3 linked regions of the Drosophila melanogaster genome follow. Changing the gene in region 1 together with any one later gene gives a genetic interaction. Each region holds a gene or a part of one and is shown in the gene's direction. Other genes may lie near its edges.

Region 1 (5,982 bases):
ATATATGATTAAAAATTTACATATATATATTTTTTTTATATATTTATATTATAAATTTTAAAAGTACTAATTTTTTAAAAATGTACATTTCAGAATTTGAATTGTAAAGCCATAATTCTTTAAGAGTAAATGGAGAAAAAAAGAAAAGCGGAACACCGTCTACACCTGCAGGTGTATCAGTTCTTTCTTGGAGAGAACGGTGATCAGATTGTTTGCCGTGGTTATGCCCAGAATCTCGTCAATCTCGTTGCCCAAGGTGATGAGCTTTTGTTTACCCAAGGTGACGGGAGGTCCGTTTCGCCTGCGGAGACCATCAGCCGAATTATTAGCCGGAAAGTAGACGAGAACGTAGCGTACAGGGTCACATATGGCTACGTAATCCAGATCCGGACTGCAGACGGTGAATTTCCGCACAACCTTGGAGGCCTGCACGTAGCCGAAGGCGTGCAGCTGGCCCTCGTGGCGGACACTCCATTCATCTGGACGACTGGGCTGGTACATCTGTAGCCATATGGAGGCGTCGACGCCCTGGCGGGTAGCAAAGGCGGCTGGAAAGCCAGGACGCAGCGTGGTGGTGAGCACCAGTGGCGGGGGACCAAGAAAAATAGTGTGGGTGATGCACCCGCTGGTCAAATTGAAGCGTACTAAAAGAAGAAAATGTATTTATTAAGCATATGCAGCAGATGTATAATAGAATGCTTACCCATCTTCATTTCTTCATCAGCGGATATTAAGTCACATTCTTCAACGGGATCCTGCAGACTTGGAATGGGCAGTGGTGGAGCTTCCATTGGATGTACTTCCTCCGCTACGTCATCTTTCTTCTGCGCGAACAAACGTGGCCAGTTCTGAATCTCCGCCTTGGTTAGTGACAATTCTAGGCCATTCTCAGCCAACTTAAATGCACTTAAATCATCTCCCACACTGGCGTATAACTCTTCGTCGAATATAACCTCATCCAGATGCTTTACAACGACAGTGGTTTTAGAACCGCTCACGTTAAACTCTTTAGCGGATGCAGTTGAAGGAACATTGAAACGAATGAGCACATTATTATCCGTTTGGGACCAGCTATAACTAGGTGGACCTCCATTTTCCAGCTGGCCATCGTGATCACCTGAGGAATTCAAGCGGGCAGCGGCTGCTTCATCGGCTGCCCGACGCTCCTCGGGAGTCTGAACATCGCGGTTGCTGGCAATGACTAGGGACTCGGCGCGAGGCTCAAAGGCGCAGTAGTGCACAGAGCCAGTGGTCTCCAGCCGTTGACAGATATTATATGACCACTCGTCATTGGTGGGCGAATGAGTCCACCGTGCCCAGGTCAAGTCCATGTAATAGACGTGCGTCTGATCTTGGCCAACTGCATCACGGCGTGCCACATGACCGGCCACCAGCGAGATCTGCTTACGTTCCTGCAGCACATCCAGCCGGGCATCGAAGAGTGCAAAGCCGCGATGACCACTGTTATTATTCACCGGCGAGCGTGTAATCCGTTGCCACTCCTGCACATCGGTGCGCGTTCTGTCGCCGGTGTCCACCAGATGGTAACTGGTTATACCGTCGCAGATCACACAGAATCGTTCCGAAACGAAAACTATGGTGTAGTTGTAGTCACCCGACCGATGTAGTTCCCCATCGCCCTGATCCCTATAGTCCACCGTGAGGACAACGCGCTGGGCACGTGCGCGTCCAGTCTGTAGATCGTAGTTGCACTGCACCAGCTGGTGGCGCTTGTTAAAGAAGTAGCTGCAGTGGCGCATCCATGGATCGGCTACCAGGTGATTGTGTCGGGCAAAGAGCTCCGTGTGCAGCAGCGAGAACTGATTGCTGCTCGGATCCAGCACGTAGGCATCACATCCAAGTTCCTGGCGAAGAACAGGCACCGAATCGAATGCCAATTTGTAGCCAGAAAAGTCCGAGCACACCAGGTTGCGATCCACTTTCAGTTCCACCACCGGCATCTTGCTTTACTGCGCCAATGCTGAGTTGGATTATATTGGAGATTTCGAAAAAATAGAGATAGATATTCCAAAACAAATCAAATCAAATCGGTAGTAGACCGGATAGAGATGGCAGATGACCGTTCGGCCGTGACTCGTATCGACTTTTTATCGACAAGTGGGGGATATGTACGATACCTTGGCAATTTTCAAATCTAATAAGATTCCTTTTTTTAGTTTGAAATTTAACTAAACAATTAAATAGCTAAAAAGAAAACATTAGTTAGTCACATATTTTTTTATCGAATCGAAAGTTTAAGCAATGTATCGATATAGCCCACATCGGTATCTAGCTCATCTCGATAGCGCCTGCCTATCGACGGACGGCCATCGGTAGTTGCGTGCCGTGGGAAAAACATAACGGGAGCGGAGCAGCTGTTGCCTGCTAATTGAAAAATTAGACACAAGAACGCAAAATTGTGAGTTTCGTGTGGAGTTTGGCCAAGTGAAAAGCGTTGGCGGGAGGCGACTACTCCACCACAACAAATCCAGTAGTAGCTGCAATACGACTCACCCGACTCCACAAAGTTAGTTTAGTGACACAATTCGGTACGTGCGATAGGGCGAGGGGCAACTCAAAAGTTCAAAATCTCAAGTATATCAAGTAATTCCGCATCGTCGTGTTCCGCCCACCCAAAATAATGCACATTGAGGATGCCAAGTGACGAGAGAGTAGAAGCGACGATGTCCACGGTGCGCCTGCCCATTGTGGGCATGACTTGCCAGTCGTGTGTGCGCAATATCACAGAGCACATTGGCCAGAAATCGGGAATCCTTGGCGTGCGCGTCATTCTCGAGGAGAATGCGGGCTATTTCGACTACGATCCCCGACAGACGGATCCCGCCCGGATAGCCAGCGATATCGACGACATGGGCTTCGAGTGCAGCTATCCAGGGGATGCAGCAGATCCTCCCGAAACTCCCGCCAGCGCATGGACCAACATACGGGTGGTGGGCATGACCTGCCAGTCGTGCGTGCGCAACATCGAAGGCAATATCGGCACCAAGCCGGGCATCCATTCCATTGAGGTGCAACTGGCGGCCAAGAATGCCCGCGTTCAGTACGATCCCGCCCAGTATGATCCCGCCCAGATAGCCGAGCTCATCGATGACATGGGTTTTGAGGCTAGTGTGCAGGAACCTCGATCGCCATCCCAATCGCCGTCGCCCGCCCCCGCCTCATCACCCAAAAAGAGGGCAACTCCTACTCCTCCACCTCCTTCATATGCTCAAAATGGTTCGGCAGTGGCCATACCCGTCGAACAGGAGCTACTGACCAAATGCTTTCTGCACATCCGAGGCATGACGTGCGCCAGCTGTGTGGCCGCCATCGAGAAGCACTGCAAGAAGATCTACGGCCTGGACAGCATCCTGGTAGCCCTGCTGGCCGCCAAGGCGGAGGTCAAGTTCAATGCCAATGTTGTGACGGCCGAGAATATAGCGAAATCAATCACGGAGCTGGGCTTCCCCACCGAACTCATCGATGAGCCGGACAACGGCGAGGCGGAGGTGGAGTTGGAGATTATGGGCATGACTTGCGCCTCCTGCGTCAACAAGATCGAGAGTCATGTGCTTAAAATAAGGGGCGTGACCACCGCCTCCGTCACACTGCTAACAAAGAGGGGTGAGTGTTTTTTGTGTACTTAAGCTAAGTGGCTTTCTGGAACTAGTTTATCCCGAGAGAATTTCAAATCACGTTCTGGGTCATGCATTCGAATCGAATTGCGAGTCTGGAAGCATTCCACAAGTGGCAGTGCCAATTGTTATGCAATATTTATAATAATAAACACCTGGAATGGGGCCATCAACCGATATGCACCTGTTGCGCTTTATTCTTGCCCAACGAGCACAGGTGTTAAATTCGATCATATATCTTGTATATCTTAAGGGATCGAATAATGCAATGGGAGTAATGAGCTGTAACAGAAGCAAACTATTGGCAATCGTTAATTGATGCAACTTGTGGCAATAACAAATATTAAATAAGCCATTCAAGGGAATTTCGTAGAATGCCCTTATTTGTTTTGCATTTCGCAGAAAGCGACAGCTGTTCCTTTTTATTAACCTACTAGCATCGAGTTCGAGTAGAATCGGTGCAAATGTTTTTTTTTTTTTTATTGTTCGCTTTTCACAATTTCCACAATTGAAAACTGGCCCAGCAATTGTTTATTGCAACTGATATACTCGATTTACTTTATGCTTTTTTTTCTGGGGAGGGTGGCAGGTTCGTTGATAAGAAAGTGCGAGGAGCACTATACTCATATGCATGTATGTATGTATGTACTTTATAAACCATACACTACTAACTATGCTTTCAGCAAACAATGCCAGTGGCAACTAGATTAAATAGCTGGAATTCACCACGCTCGTGTGCGTGGGCAGTAAAGCTATCTGGAACACTTGGATGAGGGGAATTCAATGGCAAGCCGAGAGTCGGGATATTTAAAATATTCAAGATATTCGCTAAAAAACACATAATATAATTATTGTTTTGTTGGGCGCTGGCAGCTCGAGTTTTATTTGCCAGATTATAGCGTGTTTTTTGCGAGTGTTCAGGAAGAACTTATATATACATATTTATGTATGCGATTAGCTGACAAAGAACAAATGAAATGATTTGAGCTCTTTGTTTTCATAAACTTTATACTGCCAATCGCATTTACCAATTAGCATTTAAGCCATGAAACTGAAAGTCCGCCTGGCCAAAGAAAAATCAAAACAAAAGTGAAAGAGCTCCAATACGCCTTGAAATACAAGTACATACATATAATGTATGTACATATATATGTATGAATGTATAATAATTTATATACCCGCGATTGGCGGGCAAACGAGCGAGGAACTAATCTCGCTTTTGTCTGGAAAAAAAGAGGGAAACCTCTCTCTTTTTCAGCTTTGCAGTCTTTCTGCTCCGCATGCGTGGCCACGAACTCCACTTCCACTTCGTACACAGCGAGAAATGGGGCTAACTATGATATAAGTATTATATAGAAGAGTGCTATCTACTTCGGCATATGATCAGCATATAAAATCTACTAATATTTAAAAGCACGAATCGTACAATGTTTAGCAAGTTTCTTTTATTTTATGTTAAGCACGCACTTTTTCTTCGAGTGCATTTCTAGTTTCATTCACCTTCACTTTGATTTAGAGCTGTTTTTACTTTACTTTTGCTTTGCCAGCTCAAAAATGTTGATTTGAAATTAGTGAACTAGTGGCGAATTATGCAATAACTTGGCTTTGATCCACCACATTCACATTGAATTCTGGCTGATTTACGAATATCGGTTTGCATACCCGTATTTATGTATGTACTAGATGTACGTGCGCCGTTTTGAGAAGCTCAATTGCAAATTCAAAAATGAAAATGCATAAATGGGGAGCCTCGTAATTATGATTGCAATGGAACTGGTTTTCGATTTTTTCGCATTCGACATGGAGACATGCGCACGGTGGAGAAAAGCGAGCGAAACTGTTGCGATTAAATGACACTGAAAATAATTTCAGACATTCAAAAGTGGTATGAAAACAGCGAGCCCACATGAATATCAATCGCTGGCAGCTGTATGATGGTATATAAAGTACAATATCGCTTGTTTTTTTAAAGTTTATTTGTTTATTTTGAATTTACATATATACTTATTAAGATACTTAATTGTATTGTAATCATTTTCGAAAAACAATTACGTACCAGTCATGCTTCTGAAAGAGTTCATAGATGTTTTGGGCCAGCGAAGTTGGACTTCTGCCATATGGATTGGTCCAATTCCGTGCGGCTTCTTATCTTTCAATCAATTAGCACTTAAACTTCATTTAACTAGCTTAACTTGTTGTTTGCCAATTGTTACTTGGCTTGTTTGCAGTTTGTTTGCCGCAAGTCGGTAGTCGAAATTGGGAATGTAAACTGTTGAGCAAAACATATGTTTTCCTCCGATTCTTATCGTCCGGCGATAAGTGAACGACAGAGAACGAACCACAGGCA
Region 2 (4,501 bases), on another chromosome or scaffold:
GTTTTGATTTCCACCGTTCCGTCATCGCCGCGAACTCATCGACGCTAATTTAACGCACATACAATAATCGCTTTATACTTAGTATTTTAAAAATACTTATAAGTAGCACTTACCGTCCGCGGTATTTTTTGTTTCGCAGCAATTGGTATTCAATTAAATGCCATAAACAAACACAAAAAATGGAAATGGACGCAGACCTAACAAAGTAAATATTTATATTACAATCCGATATATTTTTAATTAATTTGATGCTCTCACGTTAGTCAGGCGATTGCCGAGCTAATGCGCGAGATCGAAGGTGCAAATGCCAGTGTCAGCACCTCGAAACAAAGCGAACGCAAAGTGAATCCTCTGGGCAAACTAAACAAACGCTTCTTAGGCCGCACCATAAACACCGCGATTCGGCATAATGATAGAGAAAAGGAGCGCACACAGGCAAATTGCCGACAGAAGCTGCAGGATCTGGATGATGTGCACGAAAGGAGGAAGTCCAACTACTTTTACAGCCGCGATGCACCCAGAACTCAAAGTGTTGATAGAAGCAGAAGTTCCAGCAGAAGGCGCAGCAGGAGCCGCCACAAAAAGGCCAAGAAGCATCGCAGCCGAAGAAGAACTAGGAGCAGCAGAAGTTCAAGCCGCAGTCGAAGTCGCAGCAGTTCACATCGGCGAAAAAAGCGCAAAAAGAAGGTTAAAAAACACAAAAAATCACACAGAAGACGAAGAAGCAGCCAGAGCAGCAGCGGTTGCGATTGGGAATCCGCACCCAGCGAGTCGTTACGTATACCCCCGCCTTCAGATGTGTTCCTAAACCACTCCAAGCAAATGGCTCTTGCAGTGGCCATGGCCTATGGTCAATTACTAAACCCGAGCAGCCAAAAGAAAGCCAGCGAGTCTAAGGAACACTCCTCCTCTCCTATAAGCGATATATTCCGGGAACTTATGTCCGACGAAGAGGTGGACAAATCCGAGAAGCCCGAGGCCCTGTCCATTTCATCCAGCGACGAAGAGCCAAATGTTCTCACCATTAAAGTAAGCTCGAGCTCCGAGTCCAGCGGCAATAAATCAAGCTCGGACTCAGATTCAGAAGCAAAGAACAGCGTACGCAGCTGTATAACCCTAGAATCTGGTGATAATAGTGATATTGAGATAATTGAGTACCATGAAGAGCCCAAAAAAAAGGCATGTGAAACTGAACCTGCGTCTGAACCTGAATATCCGTCTCAATCGGATAGCACAAATCAACAAGTGGACGATAGCACAGCTGTCACTACAGTGGACCTGACCGAGGATTAATTAGGCTAAACTTTAGTTAGAGAATCGTTATGTAAGATCAGAATGAAATTTTAAAGGAAACAAACTGAAGTTGAACCAAACTAAGAATATTGTTTTTATATTATTATTACAGATATAAGCTCTGCCATAGATAGATTCATATTTGGTTGGTTTTTTTTTAAGTTATGTTTAATAGTAATATACTAAATATACCACCGAATGATACCCTGTTGTGTCTGTTTATAATATCAACTTTGGGTTCATTTTTTTATTTAAATTATAAAATAAAAATGCAAAATTTGAAATGTTAATAATACTTATTAGTTTTAGTAAGTAATAAAAACCACGTGCCAGAGCTCTTGCCATAGTTGATATGCCTCTCGTGTACGGCAACAAACTGTTGCTCTCTCTCTCTCTCTATGACCGATTTTCTCTCAGCACCTGCCCGAACAGCTGATTCTTTATTTACCACTCAATTTTCGATGGAAAACGCCAGCGCGAAGACAATTAGAAATCGCTAAGTTAAATAAATAGAGATCCGTTGTCGCAAGATGTTCGGGAACCTGAAAAAGAAGCTTAGCAGTGCGATCCAGGAGGGCCTGGTGATCTCGGAGAATCTGCAACAGCAATATCGCCAGCGTGTCAGTTCCGGAAACTCGGGGAGTAGCCAAGCCAGTGGGATTACGACCCCCATTTCGCCACTGGGCCTTAACGAAAGTCTGTCGTCCAGCAGGAGCAGTAGCCTCTCCCTTAGTGCTCCCTTCCAGCTAACCGATGGAGTGCCCAGTCACCTAAATGTGGCAGCTGGTTGCAGTTTGCTTGCCAAATACGAGGATGATTGGCAGCAGATTCATGGCGCCAACGAAAAGAACGCGGAGAAGGCTGCGCAGATTGCTAACCAAATCTCCGGCATCCAAGACCAGGCCAGCCATCAGCACAGGATCATGAGTGAGCTGAACAGTAGTCTGGCGGGAATTCCCACGTTGATAGCCCAACTGCAAAACAGCTCACAGGTTCTTAATTCCCTGGAGGAAATGGGTAAGCAGTTGGAGATTGAGCTCGAGAAGCTGGAGGATCTGCGCGAGGAGTGTGAGCTCCAAGAGTTCATCCTTGAGCAGCAGTTTCAGCTCTCCCGGCACAAGCAAAAGAAACTGAACGAACTGGAGCAGTATCGCCAGCAAATAGCCCAGAAACACCAATCCAAAATCAAGGATCAGGAGCAGACCCTCCTGAAGCTGCAGAGGGAACGACAGGCTGTCTTCGACGACGCCTTCCGGGAGGATATGGAGGAGTACAAACAGCGCGGCCAGCTGACAAGTTAGTCTGATAACATAAACAAATATGATGCACTAAGTTAACGCCCCTTTTTTTTTAGAAATTCAAACCACCAGCAACAAGTTGGCTCTGGAGGAAGTCGTCCTTGAAGCCAACGAAGTGGAGACAAAGGATGCTCTGGAACAATTTCTAAATGGCTAACTCACATTGTTTGCTCATCTCGCAAAAGACTACAATTTGTGCCTTTAAGTGCAATAAGCAGTGTAATTGTTAAAATATTTTAACGGGGACTTCTGAAAAATAACTTAATTTTTTCACAACATTTTCTTACTGCATTTGAACGTTAAACTATTACATTAAAGGGAATTGGACATACAAAGATTAATTATCAATGCCAAATTATTTTAACATACAAGGCATTTTAACATAATTTGTTAAAGTAATTTCAAAATTGCTTTACTATCTCGGACAAAATATAGGCAAATTTAATATAAGTTTCAAATAATGAAGTCAAAGTAAAAGTGAATTTTCAGGAATCCCCCTAGTGTATATGAAATTTGTTGATGTGGCACCGTCACTGCATGTTTTGACAGCGCTGAATAAACATTGTTTTTATAACAGTCGATTTTCTCTTTTCTTAATAGACACACAATAATAGATTCCTTAAACTTAGCATGATTATATGGAAATTAAATTAAATATTAAACATGTTTATGATTACGAGATGGTAATTTCACAACGTGGCAGCTCTGGCGAGAGCAACAACAGCTGATTGCTAATCAATGATTAAAAAACTGATTAAATTAGAGATAATTCTCCGCAGCTTACACTTGTCGCAGCTTTCATTGCTCCCCGCATTGCCCCCCAAGTTTCCGTACCCCCTCCTGGATTTCGAGCTTATGGGTGCAGTTGGATCCGCTTTGAGATCCCCAATAGTCGACATGTCCACCAAGCAGGCGAAATTCGTTGAAAACACCATTGCCAGCAACAAAGTGGTGATATTCAGCAAGACCTACTGTCCCTACTGCACGATGGCCAAAGAGGTGAGAAAGTTGCGAGACCTTGAAAAGTCCCAAACAGTGATAAACATCTTTGCGTTCCAGCCCTTCAAAAAGCTCAATGTGGACGCCACCATAATAGAACTCGATGGAAATCCCGATGGCAACGAAATTCAGGCAGTTCTGGGCGAGATTACCGGTGCCAGAACGGTGGGTGCACTAAATATTTTACATTATAAAGATTAATTATCATTTGTAACCTGTGTACTGTGTAGGTTCCCCGCGTCTTTATCGATGGCAAATTCATTGGCGGTGGCACTGACATCAAACGAATGTTCGAGACAGGAGCTCTGCAAAAATATTTCCAATAAATAGTGTTCTTACTCTGTTCAGAACTCCGTTTTATGTAAAAAGTTTGTTAATCTTCAAAGTCCTTAATAAATGCTTTTAAAATTTATGTTTTGCGCTTATTGAGATTACATCGTCTTCTGAGTAATGGGCAAAGTGTTACTAATACCATTCATTATCCGTTAATAATTTTTATGATTGTAGTTCTACGGATCTGTTAGCATAGATATCACAAACATAAGAATATCCCCTTCAACTGCGCCCATGTGAGCAACAGTTTGCAGTTTTAACTGATCTGGCAGCGCCGTAACTGCAGTAAATAAAAAATTGTTTACAATAGTATTTAATAAACTGAATGATGGCTGATTTGGTGAGCGGTGAAGCTTCTGAATCCGACGAGGAGCTGCAGGAGAAGAATAAGGTTGTTGAGGATATCATTTATAAATAACAGTCCAATAATAAAACCATTTTGTGACAGATTTTTGCTGCTGAAATTTCGGGCGAAGCCTCCGAAGAGGATGATGAAGACATTTACGAGCAAGGCCGAAGCAGCAACCAGGTCAACAGCACGGCTTCCATTTACCGGAATAATCTGCTTCAGCGGAAAC
Region 3 (8,977 bases), on another chromosome or scaffold:
CAATAATGGGTTATATATTCTCAATTTGATCCATGAGCTTAAATGTTTCAAAAAACTGTCTCACACGTGTTCCTGAAAATTCCCAAAGTCCACTAACTTTGTAATATGTAAGTTGAAAAATTGTAATGTGTACTTGTGTTTCATGTGGGTAAAATGCACCTTGTACCTTTCAATGAAAGTGGGTGTGTATCGGAAATTAGCATTGCCTAATTTCGTATTCAGCCGGTATAGGAAATCAACAGGGTTCTTGGTGGATTCTTCTTTATCGAAATCCATTGAACCGCTTTCCCTTTCTGTTCTTTCAAATGATCTTTAACCCAGAAACTTGGTAATTTCACAAAGTTAGCGCCAAAACAAAATACTTTCGATCATTTTAGGTAGTACTATATAGTTGAAACACTTTATACGAACACAGTGGCGCAGTGGTGACTTCGGCGCTTATCAATACCATTTTTAAATGAAACTTTAAAATTTGTTAAAAACCGATTATAAATTACAAATTTGAAACAACTAAAATGATTTTAGTAATTCTTATACTCAATTAAAATCAATTTAAAAGAACCATTTTACAAAATCGATTAGTAGTTTTTAATAAACGGGACCCCCTTTCAATCTCCTCCCATGAACTTCGCCTCAAAAAGCTGCGTATAAAAGCTGTTTTCCTCGGTTGTATTTCGATCGGCTCGTCGACGAGTGCGAAAAAGCTTTCACTACCTCGATCGCAACCGGCACCACGGGCTTGGGATCAGTTGGCGACGGAATGCAGCAGCTGATCAGAGTGGCGCGGACGTTGGGTGAGGAACTGGGTGATTCCCGGCTGACTGGATGATCGATTTGCCGCCTCCGTCTTTGCAGGTCAACGCTCGAGCGGCGCATGGAGTGCGAGGATAATCGCTGGTGGAAACCGGGGAATCGCATGCCTGGCCGCCCTCTCCGAGACCCACCAGATTCTCCAGAAGACTTGCCGGGAGTTCGCCAATGCGGAACTGGCCCCCAAAGCGCGACACCACGACCGGGAGGAGCTTTATCCGGCGGAACAGGTCCGACGGTTGGGAGAACTCGGTCTCATGTCAGTGACGGTTCGAGAGGAGTATGGTGAGTTCCTATTTCAATTATAATATTTACAATATTTACATAACATAAAATATGTGATGTTTTCATTTTTGAAATGGTATATAAATAGATCATACTACTAGATTCCATTCATTAAATATTGATTTTTCAGGTGGTTCCGGATTGGATTACCAGGCCTACGCGATTGGCATGGAGGAGGTGGCTCGTGGTGACGCCGCCGTGTCCATTGTGATGGGCGTGAATAACCTGTACCTGGGTGCAGTGCAGCAGCATGGAACCGAGCAGCAGAAGCAGGATTTCCTGGTGCCGTACACCCAGGGTGAGCACATCGCCTTCTATGCACTATCGGAACCTGGAAACGGATCGGATGCAGGAGCTGCCAGCACCACGGCCAAGCTGCAAGGGGACAGCTACCAAATAAACGGCACTAAAGCGTGGATATCAAACTCCAAGGAGGCCAGCGGGGGTATCGTCTTTGCCACGGTGGACAAGAGCATGAAACACAAGGGAATCACTGCCTTTCTTACGCCCAAGGATGTTCCAGGACTCTCCATAGCCAAGAAGGAAAGCAAAATGGGCATGCGCGCGACTTCGACTTGCCAGCTGGTGCTGGAGGACGTTCACGTGCCGCGATCCCGGGTCCTTGGAGCTGCCGGTGATGGCTTCAAGATCGCCATGCAGTCCTTGGACTGTGGCAGGATCGGTATAGCCGCCCAGGCCACCGGTATCGCACAAGCTGCCCTGGAACTAGCCGTGGATTATTCGCAGAAGAGGGTGGCCTTCGGAAAGCATCTGGCACGGTTGCAGCTCATCCAGCAGAAGCTGGCCGACATGGCCACGCGGGTGGAGATCTCAAGGCTGCTAACGTGGCGTGCCGCTTGGCTGAAGGATAATGGGCTGCCAATCACAAAGGAGGCGGCCATGGCCAAGCTGCATGCCTCCGAGTCCGCCACCTTTTGTGCCCACCAGTGCATCCAGATCCTGGGTGGGATGGGGTACACCACCGATCTGCCTGCGGAGCTTTACTACCGCAACGCCCGCGTCACAGAGATTTACGAGGGAACCTCGGAGATCCAAAGAATTGTGATCGCCAACGCAGTGCTGCGGGAATTGGGAAAGGAGTGAAAGCCATTGTTGGTTTTTCTTTATTACTGCTGCCAAACCAATCAGAATTCTTGCTTTTACACTTGTTGTGTATGTAAATTAGTTTATCTATGCCAGACAAATGCATTTAATAAAGTATATTTAAACAAATGAAACCTGGATTTAGAAAAATATCTTTTTTCGATTAAATGAGGTAATTCCCCTAACTATAACTCTTTATGTTATATTGAAATGTAACGGCTTGCACATGACAGCATATCTAACATTTTTACCAACAGAGAAATGTAAACTAACATAAATTTAACAGTCATAGACAGTCATGAGAGAAAATATCGATGTTGCCAGTCATCGATACATAATTCGATTTTATTACAGCTGCTCCCTTGTTATTGTTTTCTTAATTTAAATAAAACTAATTTGACGGCTAAATGACGGCCAATTTGTTAAACCTGAACGTGGACACGCTGTTTGAGCAGCACAGCGTGTCCGAGATAGACGAGGTGCACAAAAAGATCCAGTCGGTGGTGGAGAACAAGCGCGAGGAGTTGCGCACTCATGTCGGGTGAGTGATGTGGCACCTTCAGAAGATTTGCTGCTTAAACATTCTAAATCTTTAAGGGAGCGGTACCGAGATCTTTTGCAGGCGGCTGACACCATTGCTGCGATGCAAACGTCGGCCGGGACACTTATGGAGCAAGTGCGACACGTGCAGGCCAATTGCCGCAGTCTAAACGAGCAGCAGCTCCTGGGCTTCCAGTCAACTGCCAATGCAAGTGCTAAAGATGCCGCACTGAAGGAGAGGAACGCCGGAAAAAAGCTGCAGACCTACTACGGCACCATGGCTCAGATTAAGTTGCTTACTGCCCTGCCGGAACTAATCTGGACGCACTTGGACAACGATCGCTTCTATGCCGCTACTGAGTTGTTCATCTTCAGTCGCCACATCAGCACGGGCTTGCAACTGGACGGCCAGAGTGCCCTGATGCAGAAACTACCGGTAGCGCGCAAGCAATGGGAAATCCTGCGTCCCTTTCACGTGACCATCAAACAAGCCATACTGACCGCACTGGAGAGGGAGGAACTCCTACAAGAAATGACTGTGGACTGCCTGCAGAGCCTTCTCTTGCTAGACAAAAGCGATTTGAGTACTGTGCTGAAATCCTTCTTGAACCTGCGCTCCTCAGCCTTTCTGAACTGCCTGCAAAGCGGTCCATCGGAGCCACGTCGCGTCAAGGATCGCATTTTGGCTAGCTTAAACGTGCTCAACAGCACCGTGGAGCTTCTGGACAAGTGTCTTTTGGGTATGTTTCCATTCGCAGATAGGCACACAACATTATTATTGGAACAATCGGTCTTTTCTCTCGTACAGGTTATAGCCTTCTTTTTAGCCGCTTGGAGGAGTGTGCCTCTTCTACGTGTCCACCCAGCATCAACCGAATGGAGAGTAGCGAGCGCCAGCTGGTTCATCTTTTACCCGAAATCATCGCTGGTTTTAAGCCACAATTTGATGTACCTCAGCTAACACCTGAGCAGTTGGGTTCTTCACTTCAACAATGGCTAGATAAAATGAACGCCTTGGCAGCGGCTCACTTGCAGCAAGTCTTTGCACTAGTCACCAACATGCAGACCATCCAGGACATTAAGTCCGCGGCCAGAACTAATGGTCGACCGGATTTCGTTCGCCTAGAACAGCAATTGCATCTTAAGCGTAGCCAGTTAGACTTCTACGCCAGAAAGTACGTGCCGTTGATCAACGCCAGAGTACGAGAGATAATTCGCAGCAGCTGGGCTTCCGCCATGAAGCTGACCTACGAACAGGTACTATTGCTTATTGAAGCCGGTCAGTCGCAACCGCCTCTACAAATTTGGCGGGAGCAGAGCGATGATTTGCCTTTAAGCTTGGCGGCAGCACTCAGCGATCAACCAAAGCGACTGGCAAATCGGACGAAGGGCTATGACGGCGCAACAATAGAACTGTGTAAACGTTTTGACTCACATCTGGCGGATATCGTACAGGAGCTGAATGTGATGTTACAAGAACAAACGACGAGGGCTGAGGACAAGGTTTCACTTATCGAGTTTCTGCGCGAAACGGCCGAGGAACAGCTGACAGAGTATTTATCCAATTTGAAAGGTTTAGAGCTAAGGGAACGCCCTGCTCTGCTCCTGGCTTTGAGGAATAGTCTCGCCTTGGTCGAGCTGTGCCCCAATTTAAAGTTGTGCTTCTGCCAGCCGTCCAGTTGGCGGCAGTGGACTGACAACTCGGCGGGATTGGGAATTGAGCATTGGCAGCGCATTTGTGGCCTGATCGAAAAGGAGATGCTATCCTTTTGGCTGGTCATCGTTGACGATGTGTTGGCCGGCCACAATTGCGAAGAGAAACTGCCAAAGGTCATTAATCATGAAGTGGTTCTCAGCGACTTTGCGGTAATTATATGGAAAGAAGAAATTTATTTGTAACGTAACATAATTATATTCTTGAGTAGCTTTGGCAGACCTTGACACTGGAACAGCGCGACGAGGACCAGGAGCAGAGTGTTCAGTCAACCATTCGAATCCCCAGTCAGCCGCGACTCTCTCTGCAGACGTATCTTCATCAGCTAATTCAGGCATTGAATTCGGTTGTTCCCCAAACTCTGCCACCCAAGGTATTGCAAGCATTCATTCAGCGGCTCATAGGGAAACTGCTCTGCCACTACGAGGGATTGGCCCACGCGGAATGCACCAAAGCCAGTCAGAATATTGCCCTGCAACTATACTTTGATCTTAAGTTCCTGGAGCGCGTGTTCGCCATTTCACGTGAGGAGAGGACTCTCTACGACCAAATCCACGCCCAGCAGAACCAACTGCGCGACTACATAGATCCCTTTGACTTCGAGCTGTTTGCCGAGCATATAACCGCTCATGTGTCCCGAGCTGCAAGCCGTCTGCAGGGTGAACTGGGAGTGCTTACTCCCTCGGCAGCTGCTCCCAGTCAGGGTGCAGCTGCTGCCAGTTCTTTGGCCCATGAAGCAGATCCCAATGTGCTGTGTCTCAGTTCTTCCGGATCCACGTCGCTGTGGTTCCCGCTGCTGCCCATTGTGATGCCCCAAGCTGCCGGAAGAGTTACTAGCGCAGAGCGGAAATCTCCGATCCAAGAGCCAGTTGAGAAAGTGAGTATAAAGTGTGATGATATAGAGGGCTGTCGGTGTTGGCTTCAAGAGTATAAGCTTTACTATTTGGTGGTGTATTTAAAATTCTAAATTGATTAGCTGAAGCATTAAACCGACAGCCCTAATAGATATAAAGTTTATCTTTTACCAACTTTATCAAGTTATAATGCTACGTTCCCATGTTTCTTTCCTAGGATTTCTATCGACTGCATTCCTAAGTCAATAGTTTCAACATTTGCTCTGGTTGGGTAGGAATGTTATTTGATTGTTGATACTTTGTTATCATTCCTCGTTTGCATGCTGCATGATATTGATTGTTTAGCCAATACTTATTAAGAGTGAGCAAAATAGCCGCATTGCTCTTATTAAGTGCTTCATTTCCAAATTTGAAAACCTCTTCAAGCTGAAGCAGCAGTTTAATTAAACTAATTTGGTCCATCCAGCAATAAATAAACCAGAATGCCGCAAGACAAATTTTAATTAGGTGCAACTTTCTGCCGCCATTTCCCAACCACTCCTCCCTACTTCGTCCGCAAGTGGTTGGCAAAAGTTTCGCTTGAAACCCAACCCGAAATTTCCAAGTGGATGGCCAGAACATCGGCAGAATGATTATGTATATATTACGGGCGCGTATACGAGTGCCTTAGATGGTAATTAATGAATCGCTGCAATTATTGAAATCAAATCGCTGGGCAAATGTTAATTTATGGCAGTGGCTACTTGGCCGTTACTCGCATGTTTTGTAATTAGCTGCGATCTCCGCCGGTATAAATCGTTCTCTAATTATGTTTGCTTTCCATTTGTTGCTGTTCGCTGCTCGCTATAAATCTGAGAGTCCAGCGGCAAATTAACAGATTAATCAGACAAACTACCAATTAATAGTACTAATTAATTAATAACATCTCCCATTTTATCCCTCTATCTCAGACGGCGACAACGACGCCGACGAGGAAGTCGGGTGGCAATGGAGCCCGCAAGGGAGACAGCAGCAAATCCAAATCGAGCGCAGCTTCCTTCTTTGGGATGTCCCAGGAGTGGTTTCGCTAGAGGATTCAAATCAAGTGGCCTGTGAAGTGCATTCGAGCGGAATGCGGATGGGATGCTCTTCTATTGTTAAGCTTAACCTACATAAATATATCCGAACGTACTTGTAGTAGAAGAGGCGGGCAGCGCCCAGTAAATTGTAAGAAAGTCACATACATTATAGAGATACTCGTATATACACCCTGATATCACTTTTAATTTCAACTTAACTCTAAATTTGTAATTTTTAATGCGCTTTGATGTTGCCACGGTTGCTATTTCTTGCCTCCCTTCTTGCCACCGCCTGCGGCTGCCTTTTGGTCTTGTCCTTTCTTGGCTCCACCTTTGTCACCGCCGCCTCCATCGCCGCCTTTGTTTTTATTTCCGGAGCCACCTCCGCCGCCGCCTCCGCCACCACCGCCGCCCTTTTTCTGTGGGCAAAGAAACACGGAAAGATTTCGCTTTGAGCTGGGACCGAGCAAATAACGAGCCACGGTTGTTTAAGGTTGCCCAGCGAAGTCAGTAAATGAGAAAAAGGTTAGTTGTGCCAGGATTGCAATGGGGGGACCCTTGTTCCAAAGCACCAGGAGTTCTCTAATTACATACAGCAGCAGCTATTATCCGCATGATAAAATGTAATCTAACCATTATTTGTGGTCTACAATAACGTATTAATACAGGTAGCACGAAACACCTTCCTAAAAAACTGTATGCAAGGCTTAATCTCAAAGTTAATAGTTCTAGTGCACTAAAGTTTTTTTTTTTAATTTGGCAATGCTTTTATAAATTTATGTTTAGAAAGTTGGTCAACGAATTATTTTAAAATTGTTGGAAAGTAGGGATAAAGTTAAATATTGTTAAATTGCTACTTGGAAGTTTGGTGGGACCATGAGCTGAATGAGCTGGCACTAAGATGAGGATTACAAGTAGTTAGACTCACAATTAGAACGCAAGTTGCATAACACAAATATTGCTTACATTGCCCCCGCCTCCACCACCGCCACCTCCTCCTCCACCGCCGCCGCCACCACCCTTATTTTTGCCCATTCTATCAACTTCTTGGGAAGGCAATTATTTTATTTATTTGGTTTAGTTTGCGGTGCTTGCTGTTGGCTTTGGCTAGAGTAAACTTATGCCAGAGCTGGCAAATTGCAACTAATAAGCATCGCCATTGCCGCACAGCGAAATACATGAAATTAAATCATTTGGCCAGAAAAAGAAGGCCAAAATGAACGTTGAGAGCAAAACACAAAATGCGCAACAGCCAAAGGCGGAAGGGAAAGGCGCCAATGAATTTGGGCGGCAATGGGAGAGGGGAATGGGTTGATTGCGATGACCAGGGGGATTTGGCTCCGGGTAGAGGAGACCTGGCTGCAATGGCCAATGGCTCTTAACTGATTTAATCACCGCCCGGGCACCTCTCTTTGCGGCCGGAAGAAATGGGAAGTGTTTCTCTTGCGGCGACCGTTGGATTATTTTGTAGTGCTTCTCCTCCATCGCTTTTTGGCTCTTTGCTTCCGATTGCGATTTCGATTCTGTTTCTGTTTCGGTTTCGCATTTGCATTTGGCCATATGCGCCCATGGCCATGGCATTGACATTGGCCACCTCTCGCATTTCTGGTCTGCGGCCAATGGAAGGCAATACGTCGGTAATCCCACGGCTCACTCGCGAATCCCACGGATACGGACAGTGCAACAAGATGCTATTTATAGATGCAACGCGAATTGATGGTGGTGATAGCCTAGGCCAAGAGAGATTTTGGCGGATTTCAATCGGAAAGAAATGGCCCAGAAGGCGATTGAAAGCGCTAATGTATGCAGAAAGGGAAGAACAGGAAGATTGAATGAGGGAGATAAACCAAGGAACGGTAGAATTGATTATGGGTCTAGGGAAGTAATTTAATTGGAGACTATGGGCAACCTAAAAAAAAGTTAATCAGCACAGATATGCCATTTAATCTCCATCGCACTTTCTTATGTATAATATCTGATTTTTATTATTTGCATAGACTTGTTTAAAGTTGTAATATAAGTATATTGAACATATTTAATAAAGCTTACCGAATAAACTATGCATATGAATAACTTATCCGACTGTTCCTATGGCCGGTATATACATATATCATATATCTGGTTTTGATTATATAATAATCATATATTTATAATTATCTTTCAATAGACCAAAATGTAAGCATTACATTACAAATTTGGTTACTTTTATCATTGATAAATCATTTTATTAAATTAAATAGCATTTGTGTTTATCAAATTACATTGGATAACTTTAAAACGAAAAACTTACCATGCTGATTTAACTTTACTGCTTTAATTACTACGCCAGTTCAGCAGGCGGATTCCTAATTGGACTGGAATACATTTAACAGCTTTCCACCTGCCTGAGTTCCAAAGAAAACTATCCGAGTCTGATTTTCTTCATATGCTAATTACAGTTATCAAAAAGTTTTTCTGTCGCTGCCAACGGACACTGGAAACTCAATGCATACATAATGAGACATTCTACTTTTCCTGCAGCTTTTCCTTCGGCTCTCCCACTTTTCCCCCCACAACAGATGTTGGAAAATGGAGAGCGAGCAAGAGAATAAGTCGGAACACCCGTTGGTGTC

Evidence for each region.
Region 2: of ATP7 (region 1) and Grx1, changing one enhances a phenotype caused by changing the other (phenotypic enhancement), as found in Drosophila melanogaster (one study listed by BioGRID).
Region 3: of ATP7 (region 1) and Cog1, changing one suppresses a phenotype caused by changing the other (phenotypic suppression), as found in Drosophila melanogaster (one study listed by BioGRID).

Annotation. Positions count from the first base shown.
Region 1 is NC_004354.4:11,852,698-11,858,679, forward strand, and holds the start of ATP7 (ATP7), read left to right. Parts: upstream 1-2,324; 5' UTR 2,325-2,654; coding exon 2,655-3,624; intron 3,625-5,982. Other genes in the region: CG10347 (uncharacterized protein), read right to left, coding at 160-644, 704-1,961.
Region 2 is NT_037436.4:18,866,057-18,870,557, forward strand, and holds Grx1 (glutaredoxin 1), read left to right. Parts: upstream 1-3,173; 5' UTR 3,174-3,274; intron 3,275-3,281; exon of another isoform or gene 3,282-3,370; 5' UTR 3,371-3,446; coding exon 3,447-3,590; intron 3,591-3,650; coding exon 3,651-3,755; intron 3,756-3,820; coding exon 3,821-3,916; 3' UTR 3,917-4,001; downstream 4,002-4,501. Other genes in the region: CG14074 (uncharacterized protein), read left to right, coding at 283-1,293; Dysb (dysbindin), read left to right, coding at 1,824-2,589, 2,648-2,748; Blos3 (biogenesis of lysosome-related organelles complex 1, subunit 3), read left to right, coding at 4,252-4,314, 4,372-4,501.
Region 3 is NT_033777.3:12,213,234-12,222,210, reverse strand, and holds Cog1 (component of oligomeric golgi complex 1), read left to right. Parts: upstream 1-2,524; 5' UTR 2,525-2,606; coding exon 2,607-2,740; intron 2,741-2,796; coding exon 2,797-3,479; intron 3,480-3,547; coding exon 3,548-4,605; intron 4,606-4,664; coding exon 4,665-5,330; intron 5,331-5,524; coding exon of another isoform or gene 5,525-5,548; exon of another isoform or gene 5,549-5,578; intron 5,579-6,257; coding exon 6,258-6,377; 3' UTR 6,378-6,628; coding exon of another isoform or gene 6,629-6,784; 3' UTR 6,785-7,331; coding exon of another isoform or gene 7,332-7,400; 3' UTR 7,401-8,419; downstream 8,420-8,977. Other genes in the region: CG4860 (uncharacterized protein), read left to right, coding at 761-794, 856-1,095, 1,226-2,199; CG14742 (uncharacterized protein), read right to left, coding at 6,629-6,784, 7,332-7,400. UniProt on the Drosophila melanogaster protein: Required for normal Golgi function.